Drosophila melanogaster: one gene and its partner. The protein of the gene in region 2 interacts with the protein of the main gene of each other region in a pairwise test. Each region holds a gene or a part of one and is shown on either strand. Other genes may lie near its edges.

Region 1 (8,318 bases), 7.9 Mb from region 2:
TCACTGTTTCTTTGTCCGAAATGTCGTTCCCCGTTGAGAAAGATTCTAGAACGGGTTTGCTACTCTTTAATTGCTCCGCTGCCTTCTTAGCCGCTTGCCGTTGAGGAACCAATGAGACTGCAAAGTTCGACTTGGCTGAGACTGGGGTAGCGACGACAGATGGGGGCTTGCTTTGAGTATGCGTTGGGAGGGCAGGCTTGTCATTTTCCGTAATAGATGGCGGACGTGCATCCTTTGGGACCTTTGGTGGCCTTCCGCGCTTTCCACGTTCAGCAGGTGCGCTTTCGGACGTTTTTCCAACAGTCTTCTGTAAGTGTTCTTTTGGTCGTACTTTTTCAAGACTTGATTTATCCGCTTCATTCGACACACGAGAGCTTGAATCCTTCACCTTGCTCTTTGCAGTTCCTGAAATGGAGTTTATGTCTGGCTCTCTGACTCTGTCGGACACATCTGGCTGTAGCGTCGTGGCGAGATTTGTGGATCGCATGTTCTCAGAAGCCTTTTTGGCTGCCTGGCGCTGTGGCACCACCAAAAGATCTGCCGGATACAACTTGGCATTCGGGTTCGGTTTGGTTTTTGTACTGTTGCCGATACTGGCAGCCCCTTCCTTTCCTTCCCGCGTGTTCTTCGCTTTACTAGTTGAGGACGCTGCTTGGGAAGTAGAGGATGTTGTGGCTGCTGTTCCTGGCACAAACTCTTTCATAGCTGCCTTTGTTCTAATCGTCTGTTGGTTTTGTGAGTCACTAACATTACTTTCCACGGTGGCCTGCTCCTCCTGGTCTTTTTCTTGTTCAGAGGAACTGCTCTCAGAGTCGGAGTAGATATGCTGTCCCAAGTTTCTACCAATGGCCGAACCAGTCGTGGCTAGTCCGGAAGTCGTTGTGCTCTCACGCTGTCGTTCCCCTCTTAGAGGCAACAATTCCTCACTTTCGTCGCTCGATACGCTCTCATCGGCATCTTTATCCATTTGGGCAAGTCCTCGTGTTGTCGTAGACAACTTTCGTCTTGCAGAGGCTCCAGTTCCCTCTCCAACGTCTGCTTCCGTTGTAGGTTTTGACCTACTTGCCTGGCTCCTATTAGGTACTGATTTGCTTTGAATTGGCCCCCGTCTCGCACCGCGCTCTGGTTCTTGGCGGTTTCTACATCGCTCGTCTTCACCGTCGCTGGAGCTGCTTGCAGACCTGGAATCCGGATACGTTGCAGACGCACCCGCAACTGCTTCATTTTGACGTCGCTGTCGCTGTTTTTGCCGCTGCTCAACGGACCGAGCGTAGCTTTGCTTTTTAAGGGGACTTCCTGAGGAAGACTTTCGCTTGGAGACTCCGCTACCCGCGCTAGAGCTACCGCTTTCACTACCCGAATCACTTCCTGAGGAACTATCGGAGCTGCTGGTACCATTCGCCGAGCTGGAATTACCTGATGATATAGTGCCGCTTGACGAATGGGAGGTCGTGCTACTGCGGATATTTGAGTGGAATTGACTTTTGTTGTGGGTCGACGTCGCCGCCGCCGCGCTGCTCTTCGAGGCACGCCTCCCTGTAGGATTCTTCCCTGGCGGAGACCGTACCTTGGATGTAGTCGTTCCCACCTTACTCCCTGCCACAGTCTTCTCAGGCGATGACGTGCGTGAACTAAGAATGCCATTATTAAGCTTCTTGTTTGGCGAAGCTTTAGCAGGCTGCTTGCGTTTGTTAGGAGACTGCGAGGCACGGCCACGGCCCTGTTTACCACTCTGCAGCTTACCCATAAGCTGTTCAAGGATGTATTTCAAATCCTGGTACTGCGCCGGCACAGTTTGTCCTCCCACAGAGCTGTAGAAACGGTCATACAAAGTAGGTCCGTCGTTGGCGTAGATTACAGCGTTCAGATCCATCACAGGTTGTTGCTGCTCTTGTTTGGTCTGCTGCTTCTCCAAGCGCATCTCATCCAGAACTCCCAGCTGCTTGTAGAATACCTGCTCACGTAGCTTAAAGAGAGAGCGCGAAAGCTTTTCTCTTCGACTAACCATATAGCAGAGATTACGAACTCGCTCCAAATCCTGTCGCAAATGCACCACCAACTTATGATTTTCCATGTCCTGTTGCTCCTGCTTGCGGGCTATCATCTCCACATCTTCGGACTTGGGCGGGATAAGCTCGCGATTGTGTCGAGACTTTCTCTTAAGCTTCCAATAATTGTATATGGCAACAATAGCATCGTCGTCGACATCAAATAGATGGCAACTGATGTCATTAAAGTTAACATGCTTATCGAACTCAGCTTCCACCTCCTGAAAATCAATGGGAAAAGTTAGCAACCGAATGCATGCAGAAGGCACAACGGAAAAGAAACTACTAACCTGGAGGCGCTGAGCTCTGGCTTGGTTACGTTCCTCGGAGGTCAGTTCGGTTTTACGGTGATTTTTCCGCCTGCGTGGATCCTCTCCAGTTGTCCCGCACGCGTTGTTGCCGTCGTCGGCTCCTCCACCAGCCCCACTGCCGTATCTGTTTGCTTTCTGCATGGCGCTTGCGACTGAGGCACTGCCTCCCCCATGACTACCAGCATTTTCCTTCTTACCCTTGCTCATACTGTGTTTCTGACAATAAGAGCGCAGCTTCACGCCGTCCTCAGCATTACCTTCCTCTATGATTGCACGCATTTCCAGGCCATGCTGAAACGCGCAAGTCACATGGTATGCTGTTTTGCAGGGCTTTACTGAGCACTGGATGCAGCTGCCAACTCGCTTTCGGCAGAGTACACAGATCAGGGACCAACGCGACTGAGGAATGCTAGAGATTTTCGTGATGGGTTCCATGCGATCCACACACCCAATGCTGACCTCGGGTATCCACAGAGCGCAAGAGACGTGTGCCCAGTGCTTACCCGACTTGTTGGATTTCATAGCGCCGCCCTTATTTGGACAGAGGACACAGTCCGGCTTAATTCCCATCGAACAAGTGCGGCATAGCCATTGTCCTGAAACAAAAGTTTACATGAGCACACTAACATTTCCACTCCACTAGGTGCTGCTTACCTGATGGAATTGCTGTAATGCCATAACACGCCTGGTGCACACAGATATTGCAATTATCACAGAATACCATTTCGTTCGCCTCCTCGGAGTCGGGCGATCGGCAAACATCGCAGATGACATTCTCATCGAATTCGATGCCCAAGCCTTCTTCCAGTTTAAGTATGACTTGAATCTGTTCCCAGCAACGAACCTAGAACGCAAAAGTCAATATATTGGTTCAGCATGGGGTCTAGTGAGCTTACCTCTAGCTCCTCAATGACGCGCTCAAACTGCGTCGCGTTTATGGGAAAAGCACCACATTGGGCACGATCGCTGTTGTAGAGACGCAACCAGGCCTCGTCAATAGGATCTATATCATAGGCACATGTGTTCTCCGCCAAGGCAACAACATTCGTCAGGTAATGCAGATCCGGCGAGTAGTGCTCGTCTTTGGTAATGCGCAGATAGCGATTTTTCGGGCTGTAAACGAGAGCCGCAGTTCAGTACAGAAATTCACAAGTACGAAAAAAAAATATGCTAGGTATTAACTTACAGCTTAAAGTCGTGCGCTGGAGACACAACAGGCTCGGGCAGAACATAGACGCATGGCTCAGGAAGGGAGTCTGGGTTAACGGGCACTTGCACACCCTTTTCCCATTCCTGCTTCCATGGGTCTGTTACTATTAAATACTCGTAGTTGGCCAACGGCTCAGAGTCTGGCAATTTCATTGCGCTAATGAGATCCTTGCTGCAATTAAAATTTGAATATTATTGAATCGTTTCTAATTGGTTTGCTGGTCTGTTAATACCGGTAAAGTTCAGCTGGAGCTTCCGTTGAGCTTCGATTGTAGATGCTCGACATCTTGATGTCCGCTACAGACCGCGCCTGCCAGGAGCTACTAGAACTCGCCCCCTGCGACTTGCACTTGCTTGCCGACTTTGCCAGTTTCGTTGACTTCGATTTGCTAGTGCTGGTAGCGCCTGCCGCGGCTCTTCCTTGTCCTCCTCCCCCCGCTTCCGCCCCTGGCTCTTCATGTTTGCTTTTGCACAAAGGCAGAACTGGCACACGCTCCGATCCTGTAGCTGGACCCGATCCAGTCACTTCAGCTACTGCTGCCGTAGTGGCTCCATTAGGTGGCCTACCTTTGCGCCGCTTGGTGGGCGGCGGCTGCGGCTCAACATCCTTGCGCTGATGCTGTTGCGGCGGCGGATGGTGCGACTGGTGATGCTGCTGATTACCGCGCTTACCTCTTTGTGACATTTTTCATTGGTGTTGATTGGATATTTGTGTGTTTTTGCTTCGATTGGTACCTTGTCCCTTGTGTCTTGTGCTTGTTAGAGAACGGGTTCTTTGCTGCAAGACCTAGAAGTAAGAAGGCAAAAGCAGCTTCAATACGTATTTCACGCGATTTATTTACTAACCAAATTTACTTACTACATGCTTAAGGCCACAGTTGGCGACACCACACCGGCTGCTGCTGCTGCGCTCTCCTGGATGTGGTGCGGTCGTGATTCTTGGTGGTCCACCCTTTGTGCCCCGTGGACATGGACGCCGCTGCTGCCCCAGCCCTAATATCCAGTAGCGACGCCACTTTGCAGTCCTGTGTGCTCCGCACTTCTCCACGGGCGAGTTAGTCCACTTCCACTGCCACCTTCCGCTTGCTGCCTTTTGTTATTGTTCGTTGTTTATCCACAGACTTTTGCAAGTTTTTCTTTGGCGTTTGGCTCACTGGTTTGGATTCTCGACGAGCATTCGCTAGTCTGGTGGGAGAGAAGGCATATGTTTGTGGGTTATTCGCTTATATTAGGAGCGTTCCCAGTAAGTGTCCACATTTTCTATGCTTTCCGAAAATACACAAAAAATATAGAAAAACGTTCAAGCTGCCAATAGGTGACTGGTGCAAAACCCACAGGCGCCCTCCCGCTCGCACATAGCACGCTCGTTTAAGGGCGCGCTTACTATGCGCGTGAGTGCAAGCAGGAGGCAAGCAGGTGGCGTTCGTGTTGCATCCGCCAGCTTATACACGGCACCCAGCATACCCCTCCGACACTTCACTACTCAGAAGCAATCAAAGTTTTTGCACTTTTTTTTACACTTTTATTATAACAACTTATTTGTTATTGCTATCCGCAAACCTAGACAGCCACTCTGCTCGTCGCTAGCGCTTCCGCACGCGACACGCCCACTCAGGGCGCCACTTTCGCACTGCCCATTCTTGGGGGAGTTGGGATTTTGTTATATATTTTACATTTGGGTTTTTTGCCGCCGCAGACACACACGCCAAGCACTTGTTACTGACCGAAGACCGCTCACAGTCTTCGCATTTCGTGAAGCGTCCGTATCAAACTCACGTTTCCCAAAATCGCATTTGCGTTCGCAGGAATTACAATTCTTTTGATTATTTATTTTATTTTTGAGCAAAAATTATTTTTCTCAGATCGCCATGATGAACGGTTGCAAATTTAAACTATCGAGTGCATTTAGTCGGTGGTCGGTATCGATACACAGCTTGGGTATATACAGAGTTGCATTCGGCCCAACGCTGTATTTTGTTTTAACAACATTTAATTAATTTCCACAGAATTTTCATATTAATTTGTATTTGAAAAAAAAAGTTATTTCCATTAAGTTAAGATATGTTAATTAAGAATTTTCTTATTATTACCTCTAAATATTATAGATTTTCTTAACTTAATAGAAGTTAATAATTATGTAACAAACAATGTCGAAATGATGAAATTACAATCTTTTTATTTTTTTAGAGAGGAATTTTTTATTCGTTAAAAAAAACCCGATAAGCTGAAAACAAACATCGCGATTGAAGATAAATATCGGTTAAAAATATGTTATTGTGATTACAGAGGAAAACTATCGACTGAGCGCACCCAGGAGCCCATCTCCAGCACCAACAAGAAAAAATATGTATATTTATAACTATATGTAAAAAGGAAAAAGTCGCGTCGCACAAAGGTAACGTGAATACTATTTAATCGGACCTCTGATGCAGCGATAAGCAGGCTTTTTTTCAACGGAGCCTCGCTAATTTGACCGCCCTCTGCCAGATTGTCTTTGTCTCTCTCGAAAAGTCGGTGGAACGGTGTTGTACTGGAATATTTGAAGAGTGGCTCATCAAACGCAACAAACATGTCAAACACTCCAAGTCTGAACAGTAGTAGTAGCAATATCAGTAGCAAGGCGCCCCTTGCCCAGAAGCAGGACACGTACAGTAGCGACAGCAGCGAGGAAGTTCTCGAAACAGCCGAGGAGCGGAGGAGGCGCATCCTGAAGGAGCGCAGCCGGCTGAACCGTCCGCAGCACAATATGTCAGGCGGAGGTGCTGTGCCCAAGCACGACATAAAATCCCCTTGCGGAGCATCTCCCAGCTGCCAGGCAACTGGTTCCGGAATGGGCCGCCTGCCGCTCCCTCCCGAAAGGATCACCATGCTGGTGGACGGTGTGCGCTTCACGGTGGAGCAATCACTGCTTACAGCACATCCCACCACAATGCTTGGCACGATGTTCGGCTCCGGCTTCCAGTTCGCTCATACCAACGAGCGCGGCGAGTACGACGTTGCCGACGGCATTTCGCACTTAGTGTTCAGAGCCATTCTGGAGTACTACAAAAGCGGTGTTATCCGCTGCCCGCCCACTGTTTCGGTACCGGAACTAAAAGAAGCCTGTGATTATCTGCTCATTCCCTTCGACGCAACCACGGTGCGCTGCCAGAACCTAAGTGAGTATAACGCGAACTATTCCTGCCAGGGCGAACCTTAGTTGTGGCCACCTCTGCTTGTTTTCCGTCTCTTTCCTTGTAACATGCCCTCTGTTATGTTTGACATAAAGGAGGCCTTCTCCACGAGCTTAGCAACGAAGGAGCGCGACAACAATTTGAACTCTTTCTTGAGGACCTAATTCTGCCCCTCATGGTGGCCTCGGCGCAGCGCGGGGATCGAGAGTGTCACGTTGTGGTGCTCCTTGAAGACGATATGGTCGAGTGGGATGAAGAGTTTCCGCCTCAGATGGGCGAGGAGTATTGTCAGAGTGAGTGTATTTAAAAAATGTGTTTGCATTAGTATCACGGAAGTGGAAGCAACACTAACATTTCTAACGCAGCCGTGCACAGCACTGCCATGCACCGATTCTTCAAGTACATCGAGAACCGCGATGTGGCCAAACAGGTGATGAAGGATCGCGGTCTGAAGAAGATACGCTGTGGCATAGAGGGATACCCCACCCACAAAGAGAAGATCCGAAGGCGTCCCGGTGGACGGGCTGAAGTCATCTACAGCTATGTGCAGCGACCTTTCATCCACATGTCCTGGGAGAAGGAGGAAGCAAAGAGTCGCCATGTTGATTTCCAATGTGTAAAATCCAAGTCTGTAACGAATCTAGCGGAAGCAAATGCAGATCCGCCACTGGAATTGGACGCAAGTGCGTAAGGCTCGAAACGGAGAGTAACAGCTCCCTTAAAGCCCAAATTCGTTTTCAGGTGGAAATCCGATTCCCCCTATAGCAGTGGCTAATCCGCATCCCAATAACGCTGAGCTCGCTGCCGGTATGGCCGTCGCACCCGCAGCTATAGGCGTGGCTGGTCCAGCAGTCGTGGTAGCCGTCGACGAGGCGGCCGGGGGCGTTGTAATGCTCAACGAGTTGGACCAGGCAGCGATCGCTGTTGCCGTCGGAATAGTTGATGAAAATATGTAGATCAACTGACCGGCTGGTAGTCGGAACACACTGCCAGAGCATCACAGCGCACAGAAAAACACTTTACGTTTTTAATTAACATTTTTATATGTATATGTAATAAATGGAAATTTCGAATACGAAAAACCAAGCAATTGATTTACGAATAGAAGAACATGAACGTTACCAGACATTAGCTGTGATCACGCTCCGTCAAAGGCCTCCCGTTCGCCCTGTGGAAGCGTCGAAGTCTCCCAGTTCAGTGAACGATCGATAGCCATTTTCCACTTTTGGTAGCGCAGGTTGCGATCGGTGGCACTGATCGATGGCTTTATGGCTTCTCGGGGGCCAGATTTAGAGAGTGGAGCCTCCATTTGGTATCGGTTTTCAACGGCTTTGTAGGCTGCCATTGCAGCTCCCTAAAGCATTTTTGAAGCATTATTGAAGCTGCATTTACATCACAAGTTAAAGTACTAACCAGCGCTGTTGTCTCTGCGATCTTCGCCCGGAGTACTTGAATTCCTACTAGGTCGGATTGAAGCTGCAGGAACAGATTATTCACAGTCATGCCCCCGTCTACCATAAGCTTGGCCAGTGGAATCTTGCAGTCCTTGTGCATCGAATCGAGAATATCACGGACCT
Region 2 (10,731 bases):
CTATGAGATAATACGAGTACGAGATAAGTAATGGACATGTACATTATACTACACGAATAGCACAACCCCCGATTGGAGCAGGTCTGAACTAAAACATAATGTAATTGACACAAGATATCGGCTCATATGGGCCCATATAATTTGATTGGCGACTGTAGCGCCTATTTGAAATGAGTTCATAAGTTAAGGATCAACTGTAATTGTAAACTGCATTAGTATTTGACTTGTAAACCGATTTTAAGGATCATTCTTAACTATATATACTAGATACGAATTACGCATTAATTTACGTTAAATGAGGATAAAACGAAAAATTGTGTAAACTGTTTGTATAAAAAATAAGAACAAAACAAAAAAAAGAAGAAAACGAATCCATTTTGTTTTATTTATTTATCGCATTACCTAAAGTGGATCCAACCCAACCCAATGCATTTGCTAATTAGAATTTATAGCCATGTAACACTGCAACCCCAGACAACTAGCACCCACTATATACGATATGTGTATGTATATTTATGGACAATATTTGAGATTAAAACACAACACACCACACACCAACAATTCTTCAAGTTTGTATTAGAATACAGGTACAAAGACAGCATTCCATTGAATACGGGATACCTAAGGATGCCATGTACATCATAAACTTTGAATATAAACCAAATATATGATGATGAGACTCTCAGGGGAGAGAAGTCTATTGAAACCAGAATTGGTCAAGATTGGTAGAATAAAACATAAAAATGATTGCGCTCAGGTTATTAAATGTAAAAATTACAAAATACTCCTATATACATATATGAAATAATCCCAAATTCGCATAACATATAAATAACCAACATATATGTACGTTTACCATGTTTAACAAAAGGCTGTTTGTAGAAATTGTGACACAGTTTTTTTAACCCGAACCCACTAACCCACATCTAAACGACGATTAACCAACTCGATGTGTAAATGCAAAATGGATAATTGAGCATCTTCGACTCCACAGTGAATGTAGTTCTAGTTGCTTACACTAACCAGACAGAAGCTGGCTGCTTTGTGCACTCCAAAAAATTATGTAAATACTAAAGAAAATGATAAATAATAGTAATAATCGTCGTATATAAATTTAGAGAAAACTTTGTGATTGCTTCTCATTGATGATGATGATGACATAACTGTTTCGTAGGACAACATTAAGGCAAATATTTTTTCTTATAAGTAGCATGTAAAAACACTCGATACGCTAACCGACAAAAAGGCAAACGCTATAATGTAGGACACTCCAAAACGTAGTTAACAAACACGATTTAAAACCATATAAAACACACCCTATACCCTCTAAAAAAAAATCGATGGCAAATGCTTAACGCAAAAATATGATATACGAGTTATTGTATGTGTACGGGAAAATTTGCTAAATGTTGTAAAAAGTATATATTACTCGATTATAATGTAGCACTCGAAATGGAGTCACTCCAATCATGTAGAAATCCTCATCCAGTAAAGGCACGCAACAAAGTTCCCTAATACTTTACACATAATTTGGTTTCCTTGACCCGCAAGCTAAATTAAACATGAAGTGTTTAACTGTATATATGTAATGTATTAACCACATTAATCGGATATACTAACTTAAAACGAAACTGAGACCCAAAACATACACGTGTAGTGGTAAATGGGCCGGCAAGAATTGTAAATTACCAAATGCAATCCTTTCTCCAGGACGAAGTGAAGCTGCATAATTTACATGGAAATCGTAAAGACACACTAACCATTGTATTAACTAAACTAAACCACACTAAATAAAACCGCATTAGACTTACTAAATATTATTATAACGTAACTAAAAAAAAAAAAGAAAGAAATATGGAAGAAGAGAAACCGTAAACAAATGCTTTCAAACTAAATAAAGTTCTTTGGAATTACAATGCAAAAAAAAAAAACCAAAAAGATAAGAAAAAAACACTAGTGTTATTAATTGTGGGTCGTGGTAATATCCCCTCGTTATATACCTTCTTATCCCAAAAATAAGACTCTTAGACGGTTTATCTTTCTGGCTTAAATCAAGCTTTCATATATTCAATATAGAAAGAAATTCAATCTTAATTCGTTTTTATGGCTCAACTTTTACAAAATCTACCCATCTCCAGGTGGGTAATATCAAATTTCTGATAAGCTTACATGTCTAAATGGGGAGCTGCTTCAGCTCTTACAATTGGCTTAGAAATTAAATTGGTTCTGCTTCAGTCTTACACAAAGTTATGAAATGCCTTTGATGTATGTATGTGTATGTACGAAAATAAAGGGAACTGCTTCACATGAAATGGAAAATAAACGCTGTGCCCGAAAATACTGATAACTAATCCTTGTTGCCGTAAATACTGTAGCTCTTCTCCACGAAGATCTGGATGGAACGCTTCACGTTCTGCTTGTGGGGCTCGGGCAGCTGTTCCAATTTGGGTAGGATTTTCATTAGGAAGCGGAAGTCGGGCGATAGATTTATGTTCGTCTCGATCTCATCCGAATTCATTGTCAGTTCCGAATTCTCGGACTTTAGGATCTTGGTATTCTGAATTGGCAGTGGCATCTGAATGGATGAAGGCACTGAGCTTGGTGTGGACGTGATCTTTGCAAAATTAGTTGGATTCTTTTTGGGCGGCAATGTTATATGTGGTCTGGGATTGTTAACCACCGGCTTGGCTTTAGTCACCACTGGAGCTGGTTTGATCTGCTTCTGTTCTTTGTCCTGTATGCGATTCAATAGCTCGGGCAGTAGTTTCTCCAAATGCTGGGTAAGATTGGTCTGCGGCTTGTCGGCCATAATCATTAGTTTCTTGCCCGCCACATCTTTATCCTGCTCCACAACCACGAACATCTTACGCTTCTTGGGCTGTCCATTTGTCTCCAGAGTCTGACCTTTCGTCTCATCCGATTTTTCGGTGATCACGTACAGTTTCCTCTTCTTGGCTTGACCGTTCTCCAAGCGGTTCAGTCCATTCTGGGAATCCTCTAAGGCTGATAGTGGTAACGAGGCTTCGTAGTCGGAGTTTATGGACAGCACATCGCTGGAGGCCGAGGAGCTAATGGAGTGGGAACGCTGTGGCATGGGCATAATGCCGGTGTTGGGCTTCTTGGCCTGATGTCTATTGGGGCTCTGCAAAAAAATGCGGTTCATTAAAATACATTTATAGTGGTATATATTTATATATGCATACAAGCAGTTTTAACCATATCTTTAAAATATGAAATTTAAAGAGAAAGAACGTTGAAGGGTTCTCTGAAATTTTAAAAGTTCAGGATCTGTCGCTATTCGTTATAAAAAATTAAACTTTTACGGAATAAATAGCTTTGTACGTATTTTTTTAAGACATGCTTGTATTGTTGTTAAACTAACTCTAATAGCATGCCCGTTTTTGGAATACCATTTAATGCTCAAATACCTATACGATTTATTTCAATTGGTTAATAAACAACGAAAATTGCGTTACGGAGTCTAAAACATAATTTCTGTCTGAACTGAAATTTAGCTTGGGTCAATTACCAACCCCTATGAAAGCTGAACTTTTGTTTTCTTTTGTGCTGCCACTCACCTCAACAAGTTCAATGGTGGTGCTGCTGGCCACCGCCGACTTGACAGCACCGCTCCCAGTTCCTGCACCTCCTCCTCCTGCTAAGGCGCCTGCAATGACCGACCCTCCAGCGGCATTAATGGGTAGCACAATGCCCTTGGAGGACGAGGACTTGCGCAGCGGCGTCATCTTGATGCGGGTTTTGGCCATCTCCTGGCGTTGGCTAAAGTGTCTGGAGCAGATGCGCAGCTTTTGGAGGCCGCCGAGTTGATCCACCAGTTTATAGCTGACGCCAAAGTGACGCAGCCAATGATTGCAGCTGCACGTAAATAAGAAAAATAAGATATAACGACTACTATTACTAACCACCGAAAGCTTAGTTCAGTACGCTTCTTTTGGAGGGGGAAAAAGCTTTTCACACATTTTCCATGTTAACGCAAAATGGAAAACATACCAATTATTGGGAGAACAAGAGTCCACGAGCTAGTTGCGATCGGTTGCGCAGTTCTTTGTTTAATGATTAAACTGACAAAATGAAACTGCATTGGAGTTTCGTTCTGGTTCTTGCGACGCTTTCAAATTAGATCCGACTTTCGCTCTCCGCTCTCTTTATCGCTCTCTCTTGGAAAAGTTCTTGAAAAAGTTTTCGCTGCAATTAAGCTCTTTTTATGCTTCTTTTGCGAGTGCGAACGAGAAGCAACGCTTTCGTACGCTCCTTCTCGCTCAGCGGAAGTTTCGCGGGGAATTGTTATTGTTTGTTGTTGCTGTTGCTTTTGCTGCAGCTTCTGCTCAACTTCCCCCTATTTTTGTTGTTTCTGCCGATTTGTGGAAGATGGGGGAATGAGGCTTATTTTCTTTTTGCCTTATGCTTATGGCTAGGCGAAACAACAACAACAATTAAGGCCTTTAGGGTGGACCGAATGCGAAATTATTGTGCAGGTCAGGGACAGCAAAATCATTTGCCTACTCATACCATATTTAATCTGACTTACTAGCCAAGTTTTAAATAAATTTTAATCGCTTGAAACCATTTTCATAAGAATGGTTTATGCTTAACTTACAAAACCAACGTACAACTGTGTGAAATTAAAATTATTGTCATAATTCACTTTAAAATTTCATACTATATCTTGAAAATTTTTAAACGGAACTCAATGACTACAGTTAGATAACCAACTATTATAATTAAACTTAGCAAACGTCATTCTTATTTCGATTTTGCTTATAAAAGTGACTTTCACTTTTTTGGTCTCAAAGTACATTTAGTGATAATACCGACGAAAGGTAAAATATGAGCTTTCCTTGATAATAAATAAAGCTTAACATTCTGGGGTTTCCTCGGAAAGAGGAAGAATTCGCTTAACAGTGGTCCACTCTAAACTCCATGGCCAATGCCAAGTAACTTTGGCAGACGGAACTCTATTTTTTTTTTTTGCGCACCAACTGCAGAAACTGGAGATGAAGAAGCAGCAAAGAAACACAAAATAACTTCACTTCACGGCCAGCAGAGCAGAGCCCCACGCGCATTTGTTGCATTTACAGGAGAGCGTGAGAGCTATAAATAAATGGGAGTCGGAATCTGGGACCTATCCCCCGCCCACCCACTGCCCCGCCCACATCGGCATTATTGCATTTCTGATTGCTGCACTGCACAAGTTCTTAGCCGCCATGGCATTGAAATATTCCTATGAAAATGATGCACTTTTATGCGAACCGAGAAAAAAACAGAGAGACAGAGACAGAGAAAGAGAGGGAGGGCGAAAGTTCAATGACCTTTGACTGCGAGTATCGGTATCGGTATCAGACGAAGAAGAGGAGCACCGAGCGGGGTCCAAAGCTTTGGATTGTTATGGCTTTAATGGTATGGTGTTTAAAATATAGAATGAGCACTTGTGATTCGCAACAAAAACAAGCTTCGGTGATCGAATCGATCGGAAAGCTCTCCGTAGGCTCTAAAAACAGGTTTAATGTGGTTCTTGGCAGGAGGAACCTACATATGTATGTATGTATGTGTATAATACTCACCGATCGGTATCGTGGACTGGAAAACGACGCAGATCATTGGGCTTTACATCCTGGCAACCCATCAGACAAATCCTGGAGGAAGGTGGCAATACTGGTTCCGGCCCATTCGCGCTAGGATTTAGCGACACAGCCTGGCAAATCCGAAGAGTGGTTATCGTATTCGTCATCTATCAAATATTATTTTAAAATTGGATAAAATCACTCATTTTAATTTAAGGTTATTGCTTCTTTTATCATTTTATTAATAAGCTCTAGTTTAGAAAACCATTAAAATAAGTACATACATATATCTTATTTATTTTCTTATTTTCTTTCTTGGAATAAAAGAAAACCTAGAGTGACCCCAAGAACTTTCGCTCTGGCGAATAAAAGCTTGCTTTGCTGCACGTAGAAAAGCACCAATAAGATGCACATCCACGGAAAAGCTTTTTTGGATAACTTGTGCTTGCCTTTCAAAGCCGCGTGGTCTTACCTTTTACAAAATACTTTGAAATTAAATATAAACATATGTACCCCACATCGCCATTATTTACCTATGCTTATCTTAGGAAAACAGATACATATGTACATAATGAACTCACCTGTCACACAAAGTCTCCTTTTCTCTGACCGGCAGTTCTGAGTTTAATAACCCCACGGCAAGAACTCTAGGTGAAAGCTTTCGGTTACGGAACTTTGAATACAATTGGCGCCGGTTTAAGCGATCGCAGCTAGATACGATTAAATGAAAAGGGCATCTATCTTCTAATTAGCGGTATGCTATGCGGCTCCGATTACGATTCTGTTACGTTCTGCATTCTATACTGCGCTACGTCACTCGTGGGAGCAGACTGTCGAAAGCTCCGCCTGCGTCACGCGAAGGCACCGCGCGAAGCTCGGTTTGGAGAGCGTCTCTCCAGCTTTGTCGAGCTTTGTGCCCATGCGTGCGAGATCTTCGCCGGAAAGCTCTGACAAATTCGGAATCAGGCTGAGATTTCAATCGCGCACAGTAAAAACTACCATTGAAGGACATTAAAAAATAGGTATTTCTTTTATGATTTATTATTTTAATGAGTCATATTTAAAATAATAGTGTTTTAAAGAATAAAGTACTGCGCAATGAATATGTATCAAATCGAAGAAAATAATACTTCAACTACTACTTAATAATATGATGTCTGCGCACCTTTCAATTACGCACCTTGTAGTTGATTGTATATAATATATTAATTGTACATTGCAATACTTAAATACCACTTAACTCTAGTTTTATATGCTTTTCGAGAAATTAGCATTTAGATAGCATTTTTGCTTATCAATTATCAATTTGTAGTGTCATAAATTTGCAACATAGCTAAGCCGCCAACTTTTCCATCCCATAATTAATTAAAAGTGTTAAAAGCTTTCCATAAATAAAGATACCAACAGCTGCAGGTGTTGCTTTGGGGCGTGCGTTCAAATGATTTTTGTACATTAATTACGGCCGCACAATTCGCGATTGGCAGCCTTCATTTGGATATTTAAAAGCCAATCAATTGGCGGTTCGACGAAGTCATAAATTTCAATGGGCGCTCATCAGACGAAGGAGGCAAGCCCCTCGAAAAAAAACAGGGGCGTCGAGCCGCAGATAAGCATCCACTTGTCACATCACTCATATTTCCAAGACGTCAATTTGCATTGTCTGTGGAAATTGCAGCCTGCAGCTTGCAGCTTCTTGCTGTCACATGCCAATTGACCCATTCGCCTGTTATGGCCAGGCCAGCCTCAATTTCTCAAGTGCTAAAGCAAATAAAACTTTAATGGCTAGTTTTACACTAGCCAAATTGTCAATTGTCGTGGCCAGTTGATTGCGTTTTACGACCGACAAACAGCAGCATAATTACGGATGGACCTGCACTGTTTTTTCCCAAGAACAATTGTGAAAACACAAACTACTGAGTGGGCCGCATTCGAAAACGCGCTCAGTCAGCATTTTAATTTCTGTCTGATTGAGCCGAATGACTCGAGCTGGCGATGAATGTAGAAGTAGAAGTGTTTGCAGGCGATGCCAGACGGCGATAATTCCCAAGGGGGCCAGGCTTGATCATCGCCTGTGTGGTCTCGCTGTATCTGTCGGTCTGCCCGACAGCCGGGGGCAATCGTTAACTGGCAGCCGATTATGTGATTGGAATATTGACAATTAGGCGGTTACAAATTGATTTACTTGTAATTTTTCTGGCGCCCCTGAGAGGGAAGCTGGCTCGTTAAAGCAATCTAATGTATGCTCCAAACAAATGGTGATCATTGTGAGGGGCAAAAAAAGTTTTAGTTGGAAAAATTAATCGTTTTGCTGAATGAAATTGGACAAAAAATCTTTGTCAGAAGTGGGATTCGAACCCACGCCTACAGAGTAGACTGCGACCTGAACGCAGCGCCTTAGACCACTCGGCCATCCTGACTCTCAAGAGCCGTAAGATCAAATTTTCTTTTGGTTGGGGACCACATACTGAAACGGTTCATTCTCAAAACTGAAAAGAAGTGTGTGTTTAGCACAAGTAAAAATAGTTTAATTGGTATTAGAAAAAAATTGTGGAAAATAGAATAAAAGAGTATTGTCAGAAGTGGGATTCGAACCCACGCCTACAGAGTAGACTGCGACCTGAACGCAGCGCCTTAGACCACTCGGCCATCCTGACTGTTAAACTAACGAGTGCCAATTTCCAGTTTGGTCAAGAGAGAGTATATTCTTGATTTAATAATTGTAAAATACTTTGGATTTTAGAAATTTTTATTTTTGTAGCTCAAAAAATAAAACGAAAAAATGGCAAAAAGTTCTTGTCAGAAGTGGGATTCGAACCCACGCCTACAGAGTAGACTGCGACCTGAACGCAGCGCCTTAGACCACTCGGCCATCCTGACATTTGTTGTTCGGGTGTCAGAAGGCCAATCCGATTCGCTGGCATTGTACTGCGGCAACATTAAGTATACGCCGTGTATTACGAATGTTTGAAAATCACACTTAACACTTTGAACTTGCTGCCCACACTCGAATGCACTCCCGATGAATTATTATAATCGGCACCCCTGAGGCAAAGACAAATTGCCGTTCGTCGCGGCATGGAAAGGTGTGTACGGACAGACAAGACACGAAATCAACATGCAGGCGATGGAAATGATAATAAAAAGCAGGCGAAATCGGGTCAACGTCATACATCACACTGTGCAGATTGGCAAGTGTCACTTTTTTTATATATTTCGATTTGTTGCCCAACAAATGACAGGCAACAAAATGGCGATATTCATCGCAAAGGTTGCTTAGGGGGAGCTGACGATCGAAACGGGAGTAATTAAGTTGTAGTTTTTCGGTTAGCCAAACTGGCAAAATGTCAACTAGCCCAAAGTGCGGACCGCTTGACATTTCACACGCAGCTGCTGTTGCTGTTACTGTTTTTGTTTATGTTGTTGCTATTTGTTTGTATATTTTTTATATATGCAGCATTTACTGGTCGCACGCACTTTCAATGCATTTCAATTAGTTGTAGCCGCAGCACAGCCGCTCCACTTTGACTTTGAGTGGCCGTACTGGACTGGATATTTTCCATTTTTACAGACTGATGGCAGACACTTGATAGGCCTGAGCGTATGTTAATCGGCCAACTCGACCTGACAGCCCAAGTTAATTAAAGTTTTCGCTCCCAACAGCCACCCAGCGTACATAATTCCCATTAATTTGCTAGTTAGCAACGCAGCCACTGCAAAGACCACCTCAATTGCAGTCGACTCATTATGATTAATGATCGGCATGTACAAGAATTGTTTGAGGACCGCGGTGACCCACAAAAGGCGACACATTTTCCAAGCGTGGCCAACTAGAAATAGAATTAGCAAATTGCCCGAATGTCAATCAAGCGTCATCAATCAAAATTTGTGCTACTGTCAACTCGATCACAATACAAATATAAATAAGCGCAGCCCAGCGGGCTGCAACAGTTGGGTGCAGCTGAAATATTTAACTGGAGGTTGTAAATTACCATAACAATTCTGAATTCGGTATTCTGGGGAGCTATGTATGTGGGTCAACCAGAGGAAAATCCCCTCCCGGCCAAAACCCCATGATATGTCAGCAGAGTTGTTAGCACAGCCGCACAAAGGTTAAACTGAGGCATTGAATGGTTTTCCAGCTTCGAACTGATGCTAATGGAGTTTGGATTAAGTTAACACCCGATTACCTTGGGCCGTCTTTCCATAAGTTCTTTAGAGCAAATCATTTAATGAAGATATTGTCTAATTTCCGAAGATTTAATCTGCTTTAGCATCAGGCGTTTGGGGGCTGGGAAAAGTGTTTAATTCACGGTGATACCAAGTGACAAATGGCTATTCCACTACAGTGGACAGCCAAACGACACGCGTTTATGGCCGCTTTGATTTATTGGGTTCTTTAATATAATTGCATTCATATTTAAATGGGGTTTTGAGCTGAGAAACAAACTAATCTGAATAGTTCAGTTTTATGGAAAATAATCGTTAAGGTTGTCGCTTTCAAAAACTAAATGATTTATAAATCAATTATTATAAATAAATTATGAACAAAACTAAAATGATGTATAAAGTTTAGAATTTGCCCATTCCACATTTCAATTAATATCCGAATCCATATGAAAATCTCCCCATAATATTTCAATTAGAGTTCTATTGATACAACTCCGTCGTGGCAATGCTCCTTTTCAAGTTCAAAGTCAAAAACAGCCAAAAAATAAATACGTATTTAAATTGAAGGAGGGGTCTAAACAAACCGAAGACTCTGTGGAGCATTAATCAATTGTGGCTCACTCTTCTTTTTGCCCTGGCTATTTTGTCGCTATACTTTTCTGCCAAATTTGAGCAAAGCTAATTAACAGGTTTCATTGTCTCGACTTTGGCGGCTCTGGCGAATACCATATTTTTGTATTTTTCCCATTCTGTTGCTCAGTGTTTTTACGATCGCAATAAAACAAATTATTGTGGGGGCGTGTTTGTTGTGGGAGGGGAAAAAATACGAATTTGCATATGTATATGTATATGTATGTATATGTATATGTATGTATGTAGAATGGGGTGGAGAGTTGCAGGGGGTGAAGTCCAAAGAAAGCACCTGCAAACAAGTTGTAGAAAAAAGCCAGTTCCAACTGCTTGTCTTAAACACACTTAATTA

What was found.
Region 1: the proteins of bip1 (region 2) and mri interact in a two-hybrid assay, tested with the Drosophila melanogaster proteins (2 studies listed by BioGRID).

The regions. Positions count from the first base shown.
Region 1 is NT_037436.4:194,335-202,652, forward strand, and holds mri (mrityu), read left to right. Parts: upstream 1-5,839; 5' UTR 5,840-6,137; coding exon 6,138-6,726; intron 6,727-6,836; coding exon 6,837-7,034; intron 7,035-7,106; coding exon 7,107-7,424; intron 7,425-7,482; coding exon 7,483-7,697; 3' UTR 7,698-7,818; downstream 7,819-8,318. Other genes in the region: rno (rhinoceros), read right to left, coding at 1-2,269, 2,339-2,955, 3,014-3,203, 3,256-3,472, 3,546-3,740, 3,802-4,253; Gk1 (glycerol kinase 1), read right to left, coding at 7,880-8,095, 8,155-8,318.
Region 2 is NT_037436.4:8,052,298-8,063,028, forward strand, and holds bip1 (bip1), read right to left. Parts: upstream 6,417-10,731; 5' UTR 6,164-6,416; intron 5,797-6,163; exon of another isoform or gene 5,750-5,796; coding exon 5,583-5,749; exon of another isoform or gene 5,204-5,582; intron 4,079-5,203; exon of another isoform or gene 4,012-4,078; intron 3,912-4,011; exon of another isoform or gene 3,877-3,911; coding exon 3,579-3,876; exon of another isoform or gene 3,504-3,578; intron 3,143-3,503; coding exon 2,348-3,142; 3' UTR 2,036-2,347; downstream 1-2,035.